2 linked regions of the Drosophila melanogaster genome follow. The protein of the gene in region 1 interacts with the protein of each later gene in a pairwise test. Each region holds a gene or a part of one and is shown on either strand. Other genes may lie near its edges. The genes, in order: Pfrx and CG3517.

Region 1 (5,297 bases):
ACTTGCGTGTATCGTTGACGTCGGCGATTACAGCACTGTTAGCTGCTAACAGCACAGTGACGGCCACTCGCATAGATCCGCGCCAAAGTTATCGGAGTGCCCCACTCGAGGGGCGGTAAATCGTGAGTGAAAAGTGTAAAATACAAACAGTATATGCTCTTTTAACCCCACCCCCAATTTTAAAGTGCTACGGTTTAAAGTGCTGCGAACCGGAGGTGAGTTGCATTATTATATCCTCTTCCAGTGCTTTCATGACACATTCACCCATGGACCTACACCCGCGAACACCAAAACACTACGCACATGCGCAGAGCGGCCACCGACACCGATAACACACCAATGCAATGCAAAAAAGTCGCGCTCTAGTGTGCGCTCTTTATTTTTGTTTTTAGTTTCGCTCCACTCTGCCTTCTGTATTCATCGGGTGCATTTATTGTTATCGGTTTCTCTTCCAGCAAAGTCGGTAATCGCTGCGTGTGCCTCGATTCGTAAACGGTAAACAAGCAATATTTTGTTTTTCATGCTGATTATCATGTTGATGAATGAAGGAGCATTTACGCAATTGTTTTGTGAATTTTCCGCTGTACACTGAAAGATTCTCTTTGTGGTTTCTCCATCTCCCTCGCTCTCTCTCGCTGGCCGATGGCCCACCACACAGGCATTCACACACACCACCACCGCGCGCACACACACACATTTACAGTAGGCCGCCATTGCTCTGCTGCGCAGCTTTTACAGTGTTGCATTCTGCCGCGCAGTGTTGTTGCTGCCGTGAAAGCTTTTTCGGCCCTTGTTGTGTGCCCATCTTTCGTTTTGTACAGATGTTTTTGCCATTCCCTTATCACCTTACGCTTTATGCGATACCTAGACTATCGGTTGTTTATATCATCTTTTGACCGGCGGAAAATATGGGAATGAATATTAAACAATTGTTAAAAATTTAATTAATAGCAAATCTACCAAAAGTATAAGCCGACGTTTATATACTCTTTCTGTTAATTTTATCAAGTTTTATCCATAATGCAATTAGTTTAATTGCTTACTTTTTATAATAATACATTTGTAAAGTTGTAATAATATGCTTAGAATGGCTTAGAATGTTACAATTTTTCGGGTGAGGAATATTTTTCATTTTTAAATAAAATCTTCTCATTCCATCTAAAATACGTTCCACCTCAATTCCTTTGCATGGCTTTAAATATTATATTACACTGACACATTCACCATATGTATGCATATTTAATCCATTTAATTACGTATTTAAATTTATTGTTATTAATTAAATGCATTGCATATCGTTTGTCAGTTACCAAAGTTTCACACGCGGCTATCTCTGTTCAAAGAGATCGCCATAGTTTCTCAAGGTGTAAGGGACGGAAGTGCAATAAAAGCTTATCGTGTAATGACACGCGTTTTAAGATTAAAACAATGTTACAAATCGTGCTATTTGCCAAGCCAGCAAACTTGGTAATGGCTTGGAGGTGCAATATTTAATCTCTTTTATACACTTTTAAATGCCCTGTCATAGGTGTAACGGAATATTTATATATTTTTTGCTTTTTTAGGCCAAGTTGGAACTAAACTACATATTTGATGTGAAAAGTACGTTCTTGCAATCTGTCTTATTGGCTTTTCACTTTAAATGGGCATAGCATAGTACAATATATTATCAGTAAATCCAATCAGATTGATCTCTTTTGTAGGGGTGCTGTTTTTTCGACCGCTGCTGTTGCGCTATTTACCGCAACCTTTCGTAATTCCTGCATAGGAATAGCCAAGCGATGCGGACTCGGGACTCCCGGATTCCGAGAGTCAGCGACATCGGTGGAATCGACGGGGTCCGTACCCCGTACCGTGCTCGCCTATTGCGGCTATGCTGTTTTGTTTGATTTTTTGGTACTCGCTCGGCGATCCGATCGGATGGTATCATATCGTGGGGGATCGTATGGGATCGGATCGCTCGCGTGCCGTTTCGTGTCGTATCGCTTCGTTTCGCATCGCTTTCGCAAACGGCGGTCCGGGGCTCCGCGCACTTGACTCGCTCCGCTTTGCGCATTTTGCTCATTTCGATTTTGCCAAGCGACGTGTACGGAACTGAACTGAACCGAACTGAATTGATACGCGGTTCGGCGGATTCGCTTTGTACTTTCGTTTCTTGTGCTGTTCTGTGTGCTGTGCGCCCCCACATCAATATCGAGTCAAAATCAAGTCAAAATACGAGAATTCGTGTGTTTTTTCTCTGTTCTTTTTTTTTAACTATTTTGTTTTTTTTTTATTATTTGCGTACTAAGAAATTAGCGTTGTAGCAAAAGTAATCTGTGATTTTTTTTTCCGTTCTGTTTTGTTTACCTTTGGCTTGTAACGATTCAAAACAAATAGCAAATCGCGTGATTAAGTGATAAAGTGGCCAGAAGTCGGTGGTCGGGCGCTCTGCACACTGCTTGCATTCAGCGCGCGCCTGCACTGCTTGCATTCCAGGGCAATGGCTCAGTCGACGGCAACGGCGCCGCTCTACGCCGGCTACAAACCCCTGATCAGCTCGGTAACCACGGATACGGATCCGGATCCGGATATGGCCCCCTCCCTGTGTACGTATACTATTTAGTGTAGATTCCCGCCAGAGTCTCTTCATTTCACCCACGTTGCACTCCATTTGTGCTGACTGGGTTGTTTGGGGTGTCTGGGTTGTCTGGGTTGTCGGGGCTGTGGGCACCACCACCTTGATTAGCAGTTATTCTTTGGCTCATTAACACAGCGACGATAGCACAGAGTGGGGAGTGTGGGGAGTAGAGTGCCTATTCTTGGGCATCCACTCTTTCTCTCTCTCTCTATCTCTCTCTATGGGTTTTCTATTGTGGGGATTACACGCAGCATTGCCATTTACGTCGTTTGTTTATGCGGCGCTTGGCTCCCTTCTCATTTTGGCGTCATTATCGCCATCCCCACTCGTCATCATCGTCATCGGCGGTCGTATCGGCATCCTATGAAGAATGAGAATCTGAAGCAGTGAAACGCTTTGTTTGTTTTTATTTTCAAGTGTATTCTGGCATTTTGCTATTTTTGCTAATTTTTGTGAATTTCCTATCTGCCGCCTTTGTTATTGTTGTTACGACTGCTAGTTTTCAAGTTTTCTGGCTTTTGCTATATGCAACACCACGTAGTCGTCGCCGTCGTCGGTCGCCTTCATTTTCTATCATTCCATTTTTCTCGCTTTTCTTTGGGGAACCGGAAAAATAAGCCAGAACACAGCAGCACATACGACAGAGGCACCGAGGAATCGCTGTGATTTGGTCATTTTTTCACTTGCTATCCGTATCACCTGACCGCTTTGCACAAGCCACCCCATTCCCACCCGCTTTGCACCCCTTTTCCGCCCCTCCGGCGGCCTTGAGGGTCCGTTATTTATAATTCCTGTTTGTTTGTTTGTTTGTTTGTGTCTGGTGGGGCCCAGCGAATATCACCTTGCTGATCGGAAGCTGTCTACGGCTTCAATTTCAGTTCAGTGCCCTGCCGAACTTCGGATATCGACGGACTACTACTACCAGTCACATGACACATGTGTTCCACGGATAGGAGCCTAGGCTTCGGTGCTTAGAGCCCAATCCCTTTTGAGCCCAGTGCAGCACATGGCATTGAAACCGAAAGTTGGGGCTTATCTATGTGCCTACAGCGGTGAAAAGTGAATCCCACACACACACACACAGGGTGTCTCCATATTAAATAGTTGAACTACAGAAAACTTTTAGCTGCATTCGGTATTCAGAAGTGTGCTGCATGCTGCACTTAATCTATAGAAATTGCACTGCATTGAAAAATCCAAAACAATATTGTCATGTAATTTGTCATGTATTTGTAAAATTGATTCATATAAGCTGAAGTCTAGAATGTCAAAAGCGAAGAGCACTATTCTTTTTTGTTTGCTTTCTAAAATTAAAAATTGTTTAATGAGGGGCGTAAAGTTGTAATATCGAAACTAGACAATAACTATGACACATACCATTGCTCGAACTGGCCAAATGCTCCACCCTACTACAATGGGAAATGAAAGCAAGGTGGTCACGAGTCCCATTGGAGCTATTCGCGAAACGCAATTAGAACCCGGGTCAGGTGGTCTGATCGGTATTATGGGGTTGCGCCCACTTATAACCCTTTTGCGATCAAGTCAAACGTCTTTGGGTAGTTTCTAATTGATTTTTAGATGGAATCGCAGTTGTTAAATGATGAAAACAAACATATGTGCAAACATTGCCGGTTGAGCAAAGTTAAACTATTATAGTGCGAAAATCAATTCAAGTGAACTATGTCTGCCATAGAATGATCGTTTTTTTTCGTTTTTTTTTTGTGAATACAGATGTCTATATGATTCGCAAATACGTGAAATCATTTACCTAATCAGCATACTCTGCAAACTAAGGGATGCTAAGTTGAAATTTAAAAGAAGCTTACAAATAATCAGAACCAAAAACGATGAAGAATCTTAAAGAGTGCATGAACATTGTATAGATTTTTTTTTGCACTCATATCAAGGGCTCACTGTTTCTGTAAAGCGTAGATATAGCAAGTTACAGAAAACTCCCGATCTTTCAACTGATGATACGAAATGGACGGAGGGCAGAGGGCTTTGATGTCGCACATATGTACATATGTATATAATGGTAAAATGGTTCCGCAAAAGGGGCTGTAATGACTCAATGCGGCTGAGTCAGAGGCAGAGGCTAGATATCGAGTGGCAACAGTGTTTGTTTCTTTTCGCCAGTGAGGTGGAAAGTTTTGCATTTGCCGCTTGGCAGACCCAATTTAGCATCCACCCACGCAGCATCGCCATCGGCAGCAGCACCACTCACTCGCAACTCACGTGAACACCGTGCCGTGCATCGTAAATTGCCACCTGGAGGAGCGATAAAAGGCGCCTGTTCGGGGAGGCGATGGATGATGGAGGCGTTTATGAACTCTGCCGCTATCCAAATGTGGCAGTGATCTATGGCTCTGGCCATAGCTCTGGCCCGCTGATAACCGACGAGGCGACCATAATCGGTATTAAACACCGCCATCATACGCCGATGGACTTCTCTGCTCCCTTCCCTTCGCTCATCAGTTCATTTAGTTGAGTCGCCGTTCCGTTCTGCAATGTGCCATTATCAGTCTTATCAGGCCCTGTCCGGCCGGACTTTCATGCCGCTGAAAATGTTGTTATTGCTGTTGAGCGTTATTTTCGGTGGTTCCGATAGGGACCACCGACAGTTGGGCGAGATTATCAGCCAGTCGGTGGGAGATTGTACCACTTGTGTCCGCATGGT
Region 2 (3,977 bases), on another chromosome or scaffold:
GGCGAGGCTGTCCGCTTTTAATGGTAATTGGTGCCTGCATAACCATTAAAGGGTTTTATGCGAATGACGTGGACGTTACATGCGAGTGTGTATTTGTGGCGACGAGGCACTAATTTTAGGTACGTGCCACAGTCTAAGCGGTTATAAATGTGGGTTAGCTGGGCTTACACTCAGATGGTCCCGAAATTCAGTTGATTGATATTTTTAAAGCTGGATTATTTACAGACCAGATCTGTGGAAAAGTTTAACAGAGTGTGAACGACGCCTTAAAATTGGTTTAAAACAAGTGTTTATCATCCTGCAAACAAATTCGCACTTCAGGATAAAATATATATTAATCATATGGCAACCGTTATGATATTTTGCCAAACTTATTTTTGTTCTGTAACAATTTAAGCAGAGTTCAAAGTTTATTACTTTTAAAATGGTTGGCATATATCTTCAACATTAAAATATATCTAATATCAATCGATTAAACGAAACCTTAAAAAATATTACATAATCGGTGTTTTGCATAAATCTCTACAGATACATTTCGTGCCATTTGCTGTACATAAAACAATTTCCAGAGGTATTTTATTTCTGCTCGGAAAAATGGTTTCGATTGTAACTTTATACGGCAGACAGGTACTCCTATTGCCGCCTGACCATCGCCACGTGTCCGTTCCATGCTGTCAACTTTTATTGTTAGAGAAACGAATATGAATTTCTTGTGGGTCGCTTTTCCATTTTCCAAGAAAAATTGCCGGCTAACGAAGTCCGGCCGATAAGGCCCCGGCAACAACAGTTGGCCATTTTGTCTGGCCAAGATTTATGCGCGATTGCTCAAGTTTTATGAGTTACGTAGTTGCATTTTAGCCTAAAGAAAAAAGAAACAAGAGCCCGAAGGTTGTGGATTGAAATCGCTCATCTTCAGGACCGCACCGCGCTGCTATTTCATTATGAGTTAAACAAAGTTGTAACGACTTTTCTCCCTTTTTTTTTTTTTTGTCTGCGACAGATTATGGGGCTTTTGTGCTCTGCGATTAAAGCCAGTTTTCTTACACTTATGGCCAAAAAGTTCCCTGATATGCAAGGGGTCAAGTTGGAAGGACATTGAGCAAATGAAGATTTACATTCGTCAGCGATTTTTTTCCGTTCGCCTTTTCCATTAGAATAAATGTTATTAGATGACTCTTCGGTTCCCGTGACATTTGTCAACAGGAAACGGATATGGCAAAGCTTGTCTAATAAATTCTTTGATGTATTTACGCTGACGTTTCCCTTGGGAACGAGCTCAGGATGTCGTACTTTATTTATGCCACTGCCAGACGCATTTCTCACTCCCCAATGAATCATAAACTGACTCAATGCCGTCATCAACAATTACGAATGTATCCCGCCCAAAAAAAAAAAAAGGACATCCATTACGAAGGCCGCAAAAAGAGAAATGAAATGTCGCGTCGCCTACTTGGCGGCTGCCTGAAAATTTCCACTGTTGGCTTAACAAATATTTGACCCATCGAAACTTATACGTGTGTCTACAAGGAATGGGCAAACAAACGAAAACACAACTCAAACAATCTATGCCGTATCAAATGCCGCTTAGCCCCCGACAACATGAAAAGCCAAGAAAGTAACCAAATTTGGAGAAAATCCTGAGGCTTTGCCTTGTTATCTGACACTTGTGTTTATTTTGGGAATAGAAACACAATTTGGCCAAGAAAAACTTGGTTTTATAAAATGTTGTATGTTTTCATACCTTTACAGTACGACAATCTTTCCAAACAAAAATAGTGAATATTTTATTCTCTGATAAACGGAAAAGCATTTGATTGTTAAGAGACTTACAAATGAAAATGTACTGCGGATGTAGTTTGATTTATTGCAACAATTGTATTTCGCACTTGTGGTTATTTTTAAAAAAAACGAAATATTCCATTCCCGTTTTAGTTTACCAAATGGGAAAAACTCGAAATCTAGCAGCAATTGATCATTTTAAATCCTGTCAGGCGAACATTCGCCCATAACATTCATTTGGCTTGTCTCGTTTTATCAACTAGTTAGAAAAAAACTTTTAGGTAAAAAATTCGAAAATTGTTCATGCTGCAAGGAGTAGCGAACAGCATCAAAATAGAGGTAAGACCGATTCGCGATGCAGGCCCATCATGCGATGCCCGATTTCCGATGCCGGAATAATTGCCAGCACAAGGAGTGCCAGAGGCATGCTCCTTTGGGCATAATCGATCAGCACACCCAGTGCAAGTGCTTGGGCGAGGTAAATGCCTCATCGATTTTCCTAGAAAATGTCCTGGACCTGGCCAACACTTTGGCCCAGGTGATGATCATCTGTGGACTGCACGAGTGCAAAGCGAAATCAACCGTGGACATTATCACATATGCCTTCTTGCATTACGATCAGGTGTGCTATTGCATTGATACCACGCCCAAGAAGCGACTGAGAAAGGAGGATTTGTTCCACGAGCTGGGCAAGAAGTCGCTGATGAACAAGGTGGAGGCCCACTTGGCCTATGCCATCATCAAGAGGGGATTCAAGGCCTTCTACTACGAGCCGAAAGTGGACTTGACCTACGATGAGCAAGGCAGACCCTCGTACAACGATGAATGCGTCTGGGTCCACGCAGCCAGGAAGTCAGCCGAGTCCTATGCCCGCTTCGATGGCCTCTCCTGCGCCGAACAGTTGGCATACGAGGCCAAGATCAAAATAGCCTTCAAGAAGTTCTACGATCGCATGCAGACGCGCAAGAGGCAGCCGGAGGGCGACGATTGCAACTGCTGCTTCTGTGCCAAGAAGCGGGGACATCTGGTCTATGCCAAGGAACCGACTCCCTGCACTTCCAACAAAAAGAAGCCCAAGCACGTGTGTCCATATTGCTGCAAGAAGAAGCAGAAGCAGCAGTACACACACCCTGCTCGCCAGCCGGCCAAGTGCCCCAAGTGCCACAAGTCGCGCAAGTTCTGCTGCTGCACCAAAATGGACTTCAACTTGCAGTGGGTCAAGAGCATATGGGAGCGGCCGGACTTCAATCAGTACTACAAGAACGAGATCGCCGAAATCGAGGACCGCCTGGTCAAGGGAACCTGCTGGCTGCCGCCGGAGCCTGAGGAGAAGCTGCTCGATGAGGGCGAGGGCGAGGAGGAGGAGGAAGCCCACCAGGAAATGTCGCCGGAGGCTCTCCTCGCCCTCGGCGGCAAAACGGTGCCCACTATACCGGATGAAGGAAACGGTTCTCCACTGGCCACCAAACAGCCGTCGATCACCGAGGGTGAGGGCGAGACCTAAGTTTGAAGGATCCTGCGAATCGGCGCTTGCTAGATTTCTAAATTTTACTTTACTCTTGAGGAAAGCAGTTCTCAAAATTTTCAGTTCCAGCTGTTCTTCAACAATTTATCATTAAAGTTGTACTCAAGCTAGTTTATGTACTTTTCTGTAAACAAGGTTTCTTTTATTTTCGTTCCACATAGCCATGGTATCATTAAAGGATTAAGAGCCTTTCAAAAGTAAATTTTTCGAAGAAGTATAGCTCTTAAACAAAATTACTGCCAGACCTAAGGTAGCTCAAATGTTTAATAAAAGGTTTAAAATCAGAAGTTCATTCAATTGAATCTGGTTAAATTCCACCAACTTCACTTTTAATTACCCAAAGTAATGGCTCGAAAATAAGGGGAAGTGAGGAGGTCATATCAACTGCCTTATATTAAGACGGAAAATTGAGTTTGCTCTTAGGGGACACACACACCTAGCTCGAACAAACACGGCCGCATCCATTTGGCCCACTCACACTCTTGGCCACTTGGAAAACTAAACCGGCTGCGAAGAGCTGTGACCTGTGTTGGTGTCTGTGTCTACTTTGGCCGAAAGTGGCATGCAACAGTAATGGAAAATACATTTAATCTGGCTTATGCAGCAGCTCGGCCCGACGATAACTCGGGCGCACTTCATCACAGCACTTGCGGCTGAGCAACCCACCTAGGAG

Evidence for each region.
Region 2: the proteins of Pfrx (region 1) and CG3517 interact in a two-hybrid assay, tested with the Drosophila melanogaster proteins (one large-scale study listed by BioGRID).

What each region holds. Positions count from the first base shown.
Region 1 is NC_004354.4:19,496,293-19,501,589, forward strand, and holds the start of Pfrx (6-phosphofructo-2-kinase), read left to right. Parts: upstream 1-2,080; 5' UTR 2,081-2,482; coding exon 2,483-2,588; intron 2,589-5,297.
Region 2 is NT_033777.3:19,423,215-19,427,191, reverse strand, and holds CG3517 (uncharacterized protein), read left to right. Parts: upstream 1-1,992; 5' UTR 1,993-2,134; coding exon 2,135-3,283; 3' UTR 3,284-3,413; downstream 3,414-3,977.